2 linked regions of the Alligator mississippiensis genome follow. The protein of the gene in region 1 purifies or fractionates together with the protein of each later gene. This does not show direct contact. Links are inferred from orthologs where the notes say so. Each region holds a gene or a part of one and is shown on either strand. Other genes may lie near its edges.

Region 1 (7,416 bases):
GATTTGGCCGCAACACCAAACATTTCTTTACAAAAAAAAAGTTTGGGAGACACCGAGGCGGGGGGCGGGCGGGGACAGTGGCGAACTCTCCGATTCGGCGCTCGTTTGGGCCGATTCGGCCACAGCCAGAGCCGCAAACGAGATGTAAATCGTGACATATACAACGAAAAGCAAACAAATGATATGAACAACAAGCGCCGCTTCCCCGCCGGGGCAGCGCCACGGCCCAGGCCCCCTCCCCCCGGGCCGGGCCGGGCCCTACCGAAAGTCCTTGTCGGTGGACGTCATCTTCTCCAGCAGGTTGGAGATGTGGTACGACACGTTCGTCATGTCGGCGCCGCGGCCCGCCTGGGCCCTGCGGGGATCCGCCGGCAGAAGATGGCGCCAGGCCCCGCGGCCCGGGGTCCGTGTCCGTGTCGGGCTCCCTCTCCTCTCCCCGCCGCCGCCTGTGCCCGGCTGGAAGGCGCTGGAACAGCCCGGCCGCGCCGCCAGAAATAGCCCCGCGCCGCCCGCCCGCCCGCCCGCCCCGCCCCGGCCCGGCCCCCGCCCGCCGCCGGGGACAGCCGCGCTGGCAGCCCTCAGCCTCGTCCTCAACTCCGCGCTTTAACTGGGAAAAACTCCGCCTGTTCTTGTATCCATCAGCTTAGGCTGATGAAAGAATGGCTGTTTTCCCCGTCGTGCCTAGGAGCCTTTCCAGTGACCCCTGCTTCCGCCTGCGCTGTGTCAAATGCAGCCCTTAGGACTGCTTTTTGGGACCTCCCAAACCCTGTGGCGGCAGGGGGCCCCGCAGACGAGGGTCTCCTGTGTGCGTCCGCTCGCCACCCCCTCGCTTCTTCACGGCAAAACTGCATCTTGCAGGGGGCCCCCAAACAACTGAGTCAGTAACTTTGGGAATTAACCTCCCCTGTCCTGTGGGTTTGTCTCCTCTGCTCCTCCAACAGGCCTGGGCCTCTGCGGTCTATTTGGCTGCTTCTCCACCAGCATCTTCTCTCCCGCTCCCTCGGGACAAAAAAGCCCGCTCGCCTAACCCAAACGGTCCAGCCCTGCCGGTCAAATCCTCTCCGAGAACACTGTCCACAAGGCCCAGCTTCTCCCGCAACATCTTCTCTCCCGCTCCCTCGGGACAAAACAGCCTGCTCGCCTAACCCAAACGGTCCAGCCCTGCCGGTCAAATCCTCTCCGAGAACAACACAAGGCCCATGGTAAGTTGCCAAGCAATAATGGCGTGTTCAGCAGCTCACAGGAACAACTGGTCTCAGCAACAGCATTTGTTGGGACTATTTCAAAATTTGACTCGAACGTTGCAAACTGCGCACGTGCGAATGGATCCAACCGTATGTTCTTCTCCTGGTGAGCTTTGTCCCTTCTTCCCTCCCTTTTTCCATCTACACTTCTCCTGTAAGGAACACGGGACTGGAAGGGGTCTCCCAAGCCATCGCAGGTAGCTCTTTGTCCAAAAAGCATCTGCAAGAACATCTTCTGGTGCCTCAGAGACAGAAAACACCTGATTAAAAAAAGGGAGGGGGACTAAAACATGCCACAAGAGAACAGGAGAAACACAGGCATCACCAGTGCCTCTTGGGTTATATTCAGTATATGGCACCAGAACTTATGGTGGCAAAGAACAGGCAAGCAGCCACCACTGCCGAAGTGATGGCCGTCACTGGCCAAATCGTATTAGAACTTCCATCACAAGATCGTTTTTGTGAGCAGCTCGTGGTCCCAATTTCCAAAGCATTTAATATATCCTTAAGGCTACTTTGGTCCCGTTTACAGCTCACGTTCTAAGCAGGCAACACAAACAATTAGAAGAAAAAGACAGCATTATAACTCATTTTGCACCTGTATCATGACTTGTTCCAAGTCAGTCAGGAAGTCTGTGGCAAGGGTAGGAATTAGATCCATATCTCATAAAAACCACGCCCTTGACTACAAGACCATTCTCCCTCCTTTCAGTAGCAAATCATCTGAATGATCTACAGATCTCATTGATACCACTTTATAAATGGTTATGCTTGTAAAGGGAACAGAGCCCCAATATGCAATGACAGGGCTGTAGATATGTTTGTTTTACAAACCAAAATTGGAATGGAAACTTTTCTCCATTTAAATTAAACATTAGCAAAGCTTTTTGTTTGAATGTAAATGTTTTGGAAACTCAGACATTGCATCTCTGTGCTATTGCAAAAGAATCAGAAACAGAAAGTGCCAAGCGGATTTTCTTACCCAAGCTGCAAGACACGCAGCTTGGGTAAGAAAGTCGACAAGTAGAAATAATAGCAAGAAGTATATTGCACTGTAAAATGACTTGGAAGAATATAAGCAGGAACACTGCTTTTAAATGGCAGGAATGCTGAAAAACCTATCTGTTTCCTTAAAGTCCACCTGCTACATTATCACTGTGGCTGTGCTCAGGGACCTCAGTCAGGGACCAAAACCCTGGTGTGCCAGGCCAACACTGTCCGAACATAAGGAAGTGCCTCATCGTGAAAGGACAATGAAGTTCACTTTTACCAACTGTTGTTTTGCTGAGCCCAGAGCACTTCAGAGATAGTAAGCTCAGCTCTGGGAATGCATGAGGGGGAGGATGTGATGATGATGAGGCTGCAAGGTGCACTCAGGTGGCCATAATGCATTGAGAACAAAACAGGTGCTTCTGGTTTTCTCCTACAGCAATACACTATCTCCTTCCCTATCAAGCTGTCCCAAATACAGACACACTGTCTTCTGTAAACCATGATCAGATTGCACCTGCCTTTCAATCTTTACACTGTGGCCTGTAAAGTTGCAGATTAACATTAACTCCATCCTTTTGGCTTTTAAACATCTGGGGAACATTATTAACTTTTACACTTTCATCTGAAGGTCCCAAAGCACGTCACACAGGAAAATAGACATCATTCTCCCCAGTGCACAGATAGAGAAATTGAGATGGAGAAACAAAATTACTTACCCAAGACCTCAGAGGAGCCACCTGCAGTGTCAAAACTAGAAGCATCTGGCCCCCAATCTATTGTCCTCACTGCTGTTTCCACAAAACAAGAGCAAAGGCTCTAGATTAGATCCCATCCCTTCTTGAAACAGTTCCTGAAGGCCCCATTGTTGTTGTCCGAGTTCAGCAAATTACTGCATCTTTGCACATCTCTCTGAGCCTCCCTTCTTTTAAATATCAGCTCACAACCCCTCTTAGCCCCTGAAATAGTTTCTCTCTGTTATGACTGTTTGATGAATGGATATATTCCTTGTTACCATTAGATGCCTTTTTTAAAGGATGCAAAACTGTCTTTTAGGTAATATTTTAAAGTAGATTAGTGCTTTTTTTTTTTTTACTTGCTGTTGCTCTGAGCCTTTTGGGGGAAGTCAAGTGGCTAACCATGAAGTAGTAAAAGCCCTGGGAATGCAGCTGCCACATTTGCAGACTTCTCTTCAGATTTCTGAATATGGGCTTAATACCTGTTTGCTTCTCTCTCCCAGCACCACCTCCTTCTCCCCCTTGAATGTTGTACTCTAATTTTTCTCTCCTTATTCCCAGCTTTCTGCACCTTCTTTCACAGGATGAAGTGAACCTTAGCCCCCAAAAGCTTGAGTTATATCTGCCTACCTACCTAGATATGCCTATAGCAGTGAAAGGCTAGCTTGAAATCAAACAGAAAGATTTGCACCTTATCTGTATCCATCGATCAATACTGCTATTTATACAGCAGCATTTGTGAGCGGAGGTTTGCTTGTTTTATCAGCTGCTGTGCAAGGACAGTTTGCGTGAAGTCAAGCACGGAGGTTTGCACCTTACAGACTCAAAGCAGAGATGTGCAGAGAGAGCTCTCTTCTTTACTCAGTCTGTATAGATGTCTATCTATCAAGATACCTAGCACAAGGGTTTGAGCTGAGGCTGCTTGTGCAGAATCATCACGTGCAGGAGACACCGCCAGAAACAGCTCCCGGGTGAGTCTATGGGCGCAGCACCTCCCCGCTTCTGGGCTTCACGCTCAGCCTGTGCGTCTCCACCCCAGGCGCGGGGGGCGGGCGGAACCCGGGCGCGGCCGCGCTTGTTCCCGACCGGGCCGCTTTCGCCGGCGGACCCGGGCGCTGGGGAGGACGAAGCCGGGCGCGCCCGCGCTTGTTTCCGGCCGGGACGTCTTTGCCGGCGGACCCGGGCGCTGCCACGTCTGAGCGCCGCCGCGGGAGCGGGAGGAGGAGGAGGCCGGTGTCGCCGCCGCCACCATGGTAGGCGCCGGGGCCGGGGGGGTGGTGGTGGTACATAGTCTGGTGGTCTGACCCTACCCCGCTTGTTCCCCGCAGGTGTCGGTCATCAACACCGTGGACACGTCGCACGAGGACATGATCGTGAGTGTGGCTCGGCTCGGCTTCCCGCAGGCCGGGGCAGGGGCAGGGGCCTACCATAACCCCGCTCGGGTCTCCTCATCCTCCGGGCAGGCTTTGCCCTCCCCGCCCCGCGGTGCCGCCTGCGGGCGCCTCTGGTGACAGCCGGGCTGTCGGAGCTGCCCACGAGCGCGGAGGGGCACCCTCGTGCCGGCCCGGCTGCCGCAGGGGGGTCTTCCCCTCCTCCTGCAATCATGTCAGGTTTGGCAGGGATCTTGGGGGCTCGCATGTAGGCCAGCCCCCCGCGCCGAGCAGGGCCAGCCCCAGCTGTCTCATGGAGGGTTGTGGCTCGGTTTAATCTATTTGGGGAGGTTTCCAGAACGGCAGTGTACCCGTGACACGCGACGCGAGCGTGCCCGCATGCGTCAGTTATGGATTTTGATATGTAGACTTTACGTCAGGAAGGCAAAATGCACGCGACTGTTATGTTTAAAAAACATACGGGATTACTGTACAAATCTGCTCCAGCATTTAATATTTATTTTAATGAATGGTCTATTGTTTATCTCCTGGGTGACTCTTGGCATCTCCTGGAGATTTGTCTCTAATTCCTAGAGCCTCCAGGGCAATCCTGGAGGGCTGGCTACCCTCATCGCATCCCAGCCAAGGCTTTGTTCACCTGGGTCTTAACCTCTAAGGAGAGGGACCCCACCACCTCTCTGGGTAGCCTGGTCCTGTACTTTACTACCATCTTTGTGAGAGTTTTTTCCTAATATCCAACTAAACTTTCCTTGCTACAGCTTGAGACCATCGCTCCTTAATGTCATCTGTCACCACTGAGAACAGTCCAGCTCCATCCTCTTTTGAACCCCCCTCCAGGTGGTTGAAGGCTGCTGTTAAATCTCGTCTCAGTCTTCTCTTCTCTGAACTAAATAAGCCCAGCTCCCTCAGCCTCTTCTCAGAAGTCGTGTGCCCTAGCCCCCAAACTATTTTCATTGCCCTCCACTGGACTCTCTCCAACATGTCCACATCCTTTCTGTAGTGGGGGGCACAAAACTGGACACAGTACTCCAGATGTGGCCTCACCAGTGCCCTTGTTGCTAAGAAGGCTAGCAGCATACTAGTCTACATCAGTAGGAGCATTGCCAGCTGATCGAGGGAAGTGATGATTCCCCTCTAGGGAATCATCCCTAGGTGCTGGTGAGGGCCGGAATCCAAAGCTCCACAGGCCACATTTGGCTCGCAGGCCAGAGATTGAGCATCTCTGTTCTAGATCCTTCTTTCTAATGCCTGGGACTTGCTGCTAGAAAACATGAGATAACAGTGTGCACCATTGCTGGAGGGATGAGAAAGAGGCAGATCAGTGTGTCAATTTGTGGGAAGAGGGAATAAAACAGCACTCTAAACATCGTCTTCAGATGGGCAGGTCTGTCTCTCAGTGGTCTGTACAGCTTTGCTGCCTCATATTGTAAAACCCCTTAAACTTACTTGCATGTATAACCCCTTGCCTGGTGTGGCTGTGGGAAGTCAGTGTCCCCAAACATTGCTTTAGTAAGAAGAGGGTACAAACAAGTCAGATAAATTTATGTGCGTAGGCATTAGAACACAATGTGTAATATAAGCCATGAAACCCCACACGGAAATCTGATAACAAAATTTCCCTTTTCACCAGTATAACTTAAAACCTCAACTCATCAGTCTCATACGGACCCATTGGGTTGAGGCTCTTTACCTTGTGCACAGGTAAGAGCTGTTCCAGATGGCACAAGGACTTTCAGCACTTCACAACACACTGACTACGCTAACTTCTGTGGCCTTTTAAGTGCAATTCACTGGGCGTGTCTACACGAGACACTTACAGTGGAGTAGACTAATTAGGTGCGTGGCAAATGTCTTATATCTACATGTGTGCCCCCATTAGGCTACAGGAAAGTAATAAACTCCACAGCAAAGAGTATTTACAAGCACTACCCTTTTGTGGAGTTTTTTTACTTCACAGTACTGCATGTGTAGTCTAACATGGCTGGCTGGTGCACGAGAGTGCTTCTGTGTGGGGGTTGCCTGCTGGCTAGCCCCACACTGGAGCACACTCATGGCCCAGCCGAGCCCCTCCACAACACATTGAGCTGGGTTGGAGCAGCCCCAGGCTGGCAGGCTGAACCTTTGGGCCCCCTGCCAGTTAGGGTTTCTCTGACCTGGTTAGCATGCTGGAGACTCAGGCTCACATTCAGGTGGTGTGCCCAGGAGCAATACACTCCAGTGCGATATGTACCAGAGTTTTTTGCGTGCTAACAGCATGTGTAGATGCACCCACTCTATCAGCAGTCAGGTTCTCTCCCTGCTGGTGTCTCTTCTGTGGGGAAGTTGATCCTGCTCCCAGCTGTGCTCAGACTGGGCTCCTCCACAATCTCCCTGGGGCCCCTTTAATGGTGCTGGGAGCATGTCAGGGAACAAGGCCTCTCCCATGCTCTAATTACACTGGCTCCAGGTAAAAATGGCCTCCATGTTGCAGCTCTTTTATTTTTTCCACTTCCACTCCTGTTAGCCCTCAAAACAGCAGAGGGCCATAGTTCAGACCAACTCCTTGGGTTTGGTTTTCCTAGACTTTGAGTGGCCTCACCCCACTCTGCTTATCTCTTCAAAACCCAAGGTCAGGGGTTACACAAGCATAAGTGATTGGTAACATTGTGTGGGGAGGTGGATCAAAATTTTTGTTCCCATTTGAAATATAAAGAAACCAGAACCAAGATTAAGTAATTTAGCTGAGGCCAAGAAGAGTCAGTGGCAGAGAATAGAAGCCCAGAGCCCTGACTTCTTGTCTCAAAGCACTGGGTTTGACTACTTGTGGTAATTACCTTATTACAGGGGTTTTCAACCTTTTTGGGTCACTGTACCCCAGTGACTGGATGCAGGGGGGGGAGGGAGAGAGGAGGTGGTGTGCAGCTGGACGCCAAGCAGGAGGGGGCCAGAGTGGTGCACAGCTGAACGTGGAACTAGGCCGCCAAGCAGGGGGGTGGCACGTGGCCTGATGGGGAGTGGTAGCAGCTGCCACGTTTGACTTCCCCTGCCTCCCATGTCTGGCCAGGCAGGCAGCAC
Region 2 (8,601 bases), on another chromosome or scaffold:
ATAGCGCAACCCACAGGAGCTCGAGAGGGTGTGGGGGCCCTCCACATGCTCAGTGACAAACCCGGAAGCAGACCAGAAATACTTCGGGTCCACTTCTGGGTCTGCTGGGGAGCACATTAGGGCCCCCCCCAAAAAACTGGCGATTGGCTACGGGGGGGATTCCGGGTGCCCCCTGCAGACCCAGGAGGCAACAGTTGCTGTGTCAGGAGGTGGGGGGGCTCCCAAGCAGACCCAGAAGCGGACCGGAAATGCTTTTGGTCCATTTCTGGGTCTACTGGTGAGTGCGCTGGGGAGCCCCCTGTGCTCCTGTGGGACACACTATCCGCCCCAGCATTGCAGCATTCACAAGCCACCTAGTACCTCGAGGTATGTAGAAAAAACATTTAAAACTGTGTCTATGTCCGAATCGCTAAATCTCTCAGAATCAATTCAGAGAGATTAAAAGGGTCTCCTGATTAGATTTGTATTGGGAGATTCGGCCACCGAATCAAATCAGCAACCGAAGGTTTGCACAGCCCTAATATATACCACCCCCATCTATATCCAGGAGGTTCAAATTACATCGTCTCTGTAAAGCAAACCTCCCTCCTATAGCACTCACTGGGATACTGCATCCCAAACACAACTTCACAGTGGTCCAAAGGCTAAGAGACATTTTTTTGTGTATAATTTCTGGCACTTCCAACCCAAGCACCACTTCCCCCCAGAACCAAATTGCCACCACCAAATCACTGCCAATATCAGGACTTTGCAGACCAGATGGAATTGCCTGGCAGGCTGAATCCATCCTGATTGCTATAGTTTGCCAACCCCTGATCTAGAGTATGAGGAACATCTGAAGGAAAAGAGCATAGGCTGTAATCAAAGTTAAACAATAATGCAAACTTCAGACACGTTAATATAATATTGAAATGGAGCGATTCAGCATACAAAGGTCAGAAAACTAAGTGCAAGATTTTTTTTATTTTTTTTTTTTACTTCCGTGCAAAATACATGACAAATATGCACATAAAGTAATGATCTTAATCCACATGTAGGCACTCCTAAATGTCCAGCAGTTTCCATTGACAGAGTACTAACCTGTTTATTGACCTCAGCCATTGAAAGCTGTAAAGCCATAAGCATACAGTCTGCTCCACACACAGTTGTTCTTTCCGAGTCTGAAAATAGATGCCATTGTCTTCTAAAACTCTTGACCATATTTAAGATCTTTTGCTGAAAGGCAGCCATGTTCCTACAATAGAAGTCAGAGAAAGTAAGTTAGATTTTTAACTATCAGAGAAGTAGAATTCAGGAATGGACTTCCAAGCAAAGCAGTGGAGAGAAGGAACATGAATCTTTAAGACTGAATTGAATAAGCTTATGGAAGGGAAGGTGATAGGACAGGGAGCGTGGCAACATCAAGCAATGCATGATGTGAAGTCATGTGTTTATACCCCAATCTGGGGACTGCAAGAATATTTCCTATAGAGTGGAAGGTGTCTTTTAATCCCAAACCTCTGGGTTTTGGTTCATCTCAAACTCCTCTAAACTTTTTAGATCCCATAGTTCATCTGGTGCCCCTCAAGTTTCCTACAAATCACTCAGCCCATCCTCACCCAATATAAACCATCTCCTTCTTTACAATGGATCTTCACAGTACTGTTTTTCCAGTTTTTTAATCCTACCCCATCACCCTCTGAATCCCTTCTTTTGGAGAGGCGAGTGATCAAACTGAAACAAAACACTTATTGCCACATTAAAGCTGAGACCCAGACAAAAGTTGAGGGCAAAAGGGCAAGTGGTGGGAGGACAAAGCAAGAGATGCAAAAGTTTTATGATAGCCATGACAGTTTCTTCAGCGCAACCAAAGCTATCTATGGGTCAAGTGCATAAGGAGCCATTCTTTTGAGGTCCAAGGATGCAACACTCTCTAAAGACAGCTCCAATATGAAAGTAAGGTGGGATGAGCACTTTCAAGAGCTCCTGAACTGAGACTCTAATGTGAAAGACAATACCGCTGAAGCCATTCCACAACCCCATTAACGATTACCTTGCAGATCCACCAACTTATCAAGAAGTAAAAGCAAATAAGCAGATAAACAACAAAGCATCTGATCCTGATGGAATACCAGCTGAAATTTATAAGCAAGGTGGAAACACGTCCTCTCATCAACATGTCTTATTGTGAAAATCTGGAAACCTGAACAGATACCCAGTGACTTGAAAGAATCATTACCATATTCAAGAAAGGAGATATATTGCAGTGAACACTGATATTGCCCTCCTGCTCACAGCTGGGAAGATCCTTGCCTACATTCTTATCAGCAGACTCACTTTCCTCACTGATGAGATTCTACCCAAGCCCCGGTGTGGTTTCAGATCACTCTGATGGACAGTGGATATTATCTCTGTTGCTAGACCTGACTAAGGCCTTTGATTCAATCAACAGAGAGGTTCTTTGTCAGATACTAATGAGATCTGAATGACTGCCAAAATTGGTTACCATTATCAGATTTCTTCATAACAGAACCACAAACCTCCTGAGCAATGGTGCAAAAATGGACTCCTTCACTATTAGGACTAGAGTCAAGCAAGGATGTGCAACTGCACCAGTACTTTTCCATGTACACCATAGCTATATCATATTTCATTGCTGATGGACTTCCATCTGGAGCCTGCTGCAGTCCAGTATTACATGGATGGGAATCTCTAATATCAGCTGGTTACATTTCAAATCCAAGATAACCAACACCTTCATTACGAATTTCCAACATGCCAGCCTGTGTTATGCATGCCCACTCAATTGAAAAGCTCCAGGTCACTTTGGATTGCCTCTGTGAAGCATATGAAATGCTTGGCCTCACTGCCAACTTCACAAAAAATGCAGTACTTTACCAACCCACCCCAAACCAAACAGCTGCTCCACCACATATTACAATCAGAAGGCAATTCTTGAAGATAGTTGAGCATTTTCCCTGTCTAGGTAGCCCCCTTTCCCAAAAAGTAAACATAGACAATGATATTCAACACCGGATAAAACCTGCCAGTGCTGCCTTTGGATGTCTCCAAAATTGTGTCTTCAATGACCATGACGAACTTCTCGCCTACAGGCTGCAGTCATCCATACCTTGTTGTAGGAGTGGGGAACTTGGACAACGTAGCAGAAACCCCTGGAAGCTTTGGATCACTGCCATCGGCGATGCCTGTGAAAAATCCTCCATACCAGCTGGAAGGACAGATGAATGAACGCCTGTCTTCTGGTTCAAGCAAACACCACCAGCATTAAAACTGTGTTTACACAGCACTAGCTCCGTTGGAAAGGACACGTCATAGGATGGCCAATAACCAGCTCACAAAACATGTCCTATGCTCCCAAATCACCGATGGTCACCCCTCTAGGGGTGGGCAAGGAAGAGATGCAAGGACATCTCAAAGGCCAATCTGAAGAAATGTCATAGTAGCATCAATACCTGGGAAACTCCAGCACTGAGTCAGCCCCTGTAGCAGCGTGATGCATGACAAGGCATCAAACATTTTGAGCAAATTCACTTCACTAAGAGGTGTATAGATGAGAGACAGACAAGACAGACCTGTGATCCTACATCACCAGGATCTTCCTGTTCCTTCCTCCCTGAACTATTCACCACATCTGTTGTTGAACACGTTGATCTTGACTCAACCTCTGAAGTTATTTGTGGACTCACTGATGACTTCCCTGTTCACTGGAGTACCCTTATTTACCAGCCTAGGACAAATCCTACTCCTTGCCCTTCCCTAAATCCCTTCTTGGAGAAGGGGGTGACCAGCTCAATCTCCACCCCATGCAATGTGTCATCTGGCCTGTAGCACTCCCCATAGCTCTGGAGATCTGGTGGCAGGGAAGCACTGTCACTTCCCTGCTGACAAGCCTCTGGTCCCCTGAGGAGCCTGTCAGGTCCCACGGGGAGGCTGGATGACAGGACTGCATGGGCTGGAGATGGACCACTACTAGCATTCAACACACCCCAGGTGTACTGGACTGTACACCTCTGACTGCACCACCTCTGCATGCATCCATGCGTTGTGCATCTGACCCCAGCAGCCTTCCCTGCCCAAGCACGGGAGTGGGGGGGCCGGCAGACCTGATGATCTGTAAGGTCCCCTCCAGCCCGTAACAACCATGAAAGAATGAAACACTGCAGGGCAGATAACATGGCCCCGCGTGCGACACCGTGGTGACCCACGGTCACTCTGTTGCCAGCCAGGGGCACGCACAGGTCCAGGCACGAGGCTGGGGATCAGATCCGGGTGCACGGGGGGGGTCCGCGCAGGCTCAGGCAGGGATGCAGGTGCACGGTCCGAGCGCACCGGCGGATCCAGGCGCCCAGGCGGACCGAGCCCGTCAAGCCCCGGAGCTACCGCACCTGCGTGGCTACTGCAACTGCCCCAGGGCCCTGCAGCCAGGCGACTGCCCAGCGCCACTCACGCCTTCCAAGTGCCCCGGCAGCCCCGGGCTCCTGGCGCCTCCGCTCCGCTTTGCTCAGGCAAGACTCGCGCTCACGGCTTTCAGCGTCCTCGGGATCCCCCTTCCCCAGGTCCGGGCGGGTCCGAGAGAGTGGCTGCAGGGAGGATCTCGGACACCGGTACCTGCGCGGAGGGGAAGCGAGGGGAGGGAGGGAGAGGGGGAGGGGGAGGAGGCGGAGTGTCCTTGTCCTTGCCCCGCCCCCCCGCGTTCCGGTCCAGCCAATGAGCGGGCCCCAAGCGCCAACGCACGCGAGCCCCCGGCGGTTTGAATTTAAATCTCCCGCAGCCGACCAATCAGAGCGCCGCAGCCTTTGGCCCGGAAGTGCGGGGTGCCGGGGACGGAAGCAGTGCTTTACGAACAGGTTCGCGGGAGATCTCTAGGTAAGGTGAGGTCGGGATGGGGTTGGGGGGTGTTGCGGGGGAGGTGTGGGTGTTGGGGGGGTGGTTAACAGCTGCGGGGTGGGGAGAATAGTGCCACCCTTCCCCTGTGTGCGGGGGGCCCTGCCCTGTCACGGGGCTCGTCATCCCGTGGAGGGGAGGCTGAGGCAAGGCTGCGCTCCCCCAGCCTTCCTGAAACACCTTGGGACGAGGGGCAGGAGCTGCTTCCTCTGCCTGGGGCTCATCTGGGCCCCTTCCTGGTGCTTGCGGGCTGGTCCCCTGCTGCACATGGGGATGTCCTAAGGCCCCTTCTAGCTTTGCTGCTGTGTGGGAACTCTGTGATGCTAAAGCCCCTATGGAGCAGGCAGAGCCCCACAGTCAGAAAATGTCTGTGTCTGACTTCTCGTGCCCCAATGCTGTTGGTAAGATCATGTCCCAGGTGTTTTCTTCTCAAGCGTGTGGTTTGTTTTGGGGGGTTTTTTTGTCTGGGAATATTTGTTGTAGCCATGTTAAAGAACAGCTGTTTTACAAATAAAATTTCCTACCCAGGAGAACCATACAGCCCTTTACCTCCCCCATGTAATACGAGGTTTTATTTCTACCTCGGAGAAATTTTACAGTCTTTCAATTCATCTTTGCCCGATGAAGAACGTTTGGGCCCAGAAACTTGCAAATAAAGACTTTTTTGTAACTGTCTAATTTGTTTAATAAAAGATATTACCCTTACCCCAAGAAGCTTTGTCTGGGGGTGGGAGTATGTGCGCGCGCATGCACGTGCGGTTTGTTTGTTTGTTTTTTTTAAATCTCCTCCTCCTGTAACAGTTGTTGCTTCTATGCCACCTCCATCTTACCACTGAAATGAAGCAAGACTCTGTTAGGAGCGCTGCCTATGCTGTGGACTGCGAGGATTACGTGCACGTGGTGGAGTTCAGTCCGTTTGATAGTGGAGAGGCATGTTCCCTAATTGCATATGGTGGCAACAATTATGTCGTTGTCGGGACTTGCAGGTTTCAAGTGAGTAGGTTTTTTCTGTTATTTTTTTTAACTGAATATTTGCAGTTTGGGGGGTTAATTCATCTTTAAAAGGAATGGTTAAGGAGTACATTGGAGCCACAGCATTTTTTTTTCCTTTATAAAATCACTTTGAGTTGGGCCCATTTTGTTTTTAGATTCCAGCATAATTGTTCTTCAGGCATGTATGTTCATAGAAATTCACTTCAATGAAAATTATGTATATTACTGTGAGGTTTGATTCTGCTACTATAACTTCTTTTTGATCACTGAATAAGACACAAAAATAATAGGTCTTTTCTCTTGGAAAGAAAGTTCAGTTTCTGTGTCTTTTGGAATGTAGGTAATTGCTACCTGGGGAGTTGTGCAGCTATTAGTTTGGACTGTGCCTGGTGAACTGGAGATGTGCTGTGTGTGTTTACAAAGTGCCATAATTTATTATATCTGATTCAACTCTTCTTCCCAGAGCACTAAATCCCAATCTGTATGAATCTGTTACTTATGGACTGACTTCCAGCCAATGGCTGTGATACCAGAAATTAATAATTACTTGCCATATTTCCTCAAATATAAGATGAGGCTTTTTTCCCGTTCGGAGGTGGAGGGGGGCGTGGAAACCTTTTGCTTGGAACAGAGTTTGGGCCAGGCAAACAGCTGCTCCTGTTCAAGATGCAGCCATGGTAGCTTGTGTGGCAGGTAGGAGGTGTTCAGGGAAGGGGCATACGGTGTGAGGGGACATGGGAGGGGGGGATGCACAGAGCAAGGGGGCATGGAGAAAGGTGCACACAGAGCATGGAGAAACGGTATGCAGGGAGCACAGTGCAGAGGGGAACACGGTGGGGGGGAAAAGCACAGTGTGGGGGAGCTCATGAGAACAGGTGGCGGGGCAGCATGGGTGAATGGATGTATGGTATGAGGAGAGCACAGGGCAAGGGTTTGTAGGAATACAGGGAAGGGACACAGAGGAAGGGGTTGCAGCGGGGAGTATGGGTGAAGGGATGCATAGAGCAAGGGGAGTGTGAGGAAAGGGACATGGGGGATGAGGTGTGGAAGGGGCCACTCCATGCAAGGGGAAGCGCAGGGGAAAGGGCATGCAGATACAGCAGGTAGCATAGGGCAGGAACACGTGGAGCAAGGGGAGTGTGGGGAAAGGGACACTTAGGGTGCAGGGCAAGTGGAGTACAGAGCACAAGGGGCACAGGGAAGGGGCATGCAATGAAGGGAGAGCGCTAGGAAAGGGGGACACAGCAGGTGGAGCACAGGGAAGAGAGAACGTGGAGCAGCAGGCATGGTGCTGCAACTCCAGTCTTAAACCTGACTGCAGCTGGAGGCTGAAGCTGGACCTGCTGCTATTGCCTGGCGTTTAACTTTCTGTACCTCCTTTATGCCTCCCCCAACCTTGAAATTGACAGGACCTAGTCAGTTCAGGGCTGCTTACAAAACCTTCAAGTTGAGGCTTTTGCTTCACTTTACAAATTATATAGGTAAACAGAATGCAGTTATGGCAAAAAGGAGACAGCAGTGCAGAAGAGATCCTATGCATAATCTTTATTTGTTACGTAATCAGTAGGCAAAAAAATTAGAACTGGCATGTTATACAGTTAAATTATGCACCTATTCAGTATACATATAGGTGGTAGTCTTTGCATAATTCATGTTGGCCAATTGTTAGGTAAAAACAAAATGCTTCTTGTGAGCATATAAGCATCAAGAGTCAATGTAAATTATTTTTTAAACGGTGCTTAACTTCAACAATACAAAGCATTTCTTTTCAGTGAACATGTTTGGAAACCTAGAGGGGAGTGTTCTAGAAACTGGATCTAGTTTCTGAAATTCTTATCTGAATCTATCTGTGTATAAAAGAACATTATTTATGCATCCAGTGATCCAACAGCATTTACAATAGCAATATAGCAGGGACATGTTCATAGAACTTTTTTTTTCTATTCCTTCCAGTAGATGAAACAACATGGTAATAAGCTTTTTATAAGTTCTTGTGGTCATCTTTGATGCCTCTACTACCAATGTAGCCTCTACCTTTTTTTCTCTTTTTTGTTTGGAGTAGATAGTCCATGCATGCTGGAAACATTCATTACTACGGACTTAACTTGAAAGAAGCTATCTGTATCTTGTTGACTGTGTGCTGCTTTTTTCTTTTTCTTTTCTTGGTTCTTGTCAAAAGATGGATAATACTTGTATGCATGTGAAACTTCCCCCCCCCCCCCCCCCAAAAGCTCCAATGCATTGCATCTTAACTAAACCTATGAAGTCATGATCTGAAACGATGACAGGCTTAGTGTGCCTGCATACACACGTTTTTAACCTTGTTTCCAAGACTAACAAAGATGTAAATTGTAATCTAAGATTTGTGATGTATACACCTGTTCAGTAGAAACTGAATATCAGCACCTCACTTTACATGTCATAGGTCACTCAATATTATTATTTGTGTTCTGTGATTTGTTGCTGTACAGACCTACAAAGAGGGCATGGACTCTTTCATAATGAGTTGACAGTCTAAAAGGCAACCGAGTAATTATTTTTGGTCACTACTAGTGGAGACTGATCTAGAATTAAAAGGTTTTTGTCTTACTAATAGTCTTCAGGACCATTTTCTTGATAAACTTATTGTGCTACTTTATTTAGGAGGAGGATGCAGAAGTGGAAGGAATACAATATAAGATGCTAAGAACATTTCATCATGGGATCAGAGTTGATGCCATAGCA

The links. The genes of interacting proteins can lie anywhere in the genome.
Region 2: the proteins of SEC13 (region 1) and NUP37 purify together in Homo sapiens (affinity purification with mass spectrometry; 5 studies listed by BioGRID and IntAct, counting the BioPlex papers as one, with this or other methods). This does not show direct contact. The link is inferred for Alligator mississippiensis from reciprocal best matches to the Homo sapiens genes SEC13 and NUP37.

The regions. Positions count from the first base shown.
Region 1 is NC_081835.1:15,063,448-15,070,863, forward strand, and holds the start of SEC13 (protein SEC13 homolog), read left to right. Parts: upstream 1-4,115; 5' UTR 4,116-4,221; coding exon 4,222-4,224; intron 4,225-4,299; coding exon 4,300-4,344; intron 4,345-7,416. Other genes in the region: cullin-associated NEDD8-dissociated protein 1, read right to left, coding at 263-330. UniProt on the Homo sapiens protein: Functions as a component of the nuclear pore complex (NPC) and the COPII coat. At the endoplasmic reticulum, SEC13 is involved in the biogenesis of COPII-coated vesicles.
Region 2 is NC_081827.1:107,340,123-107,348,723, forward strand, and holds the start of NUP37 (nucleoporin Nup37), read left to right. Parts: upstream 1-5,185; 5' UTR 5,186-5,204; coding exon 5,205-5,285; intron 5,286-5,685; coding exon 5,686-5,877; intron 5,878-8,520; coding exon 8,521-8,601. Other genes in the region: PARPBP (PCNA-interacting partner), read right to left, coding at 1,081-1,230. UniProt on the Homo sapiens protein: Component of the Nup107-160 subcomplex of the nuclear pore complex (NPC). The Nup107-160 subcomplex is required for the assembly of a functional NPC.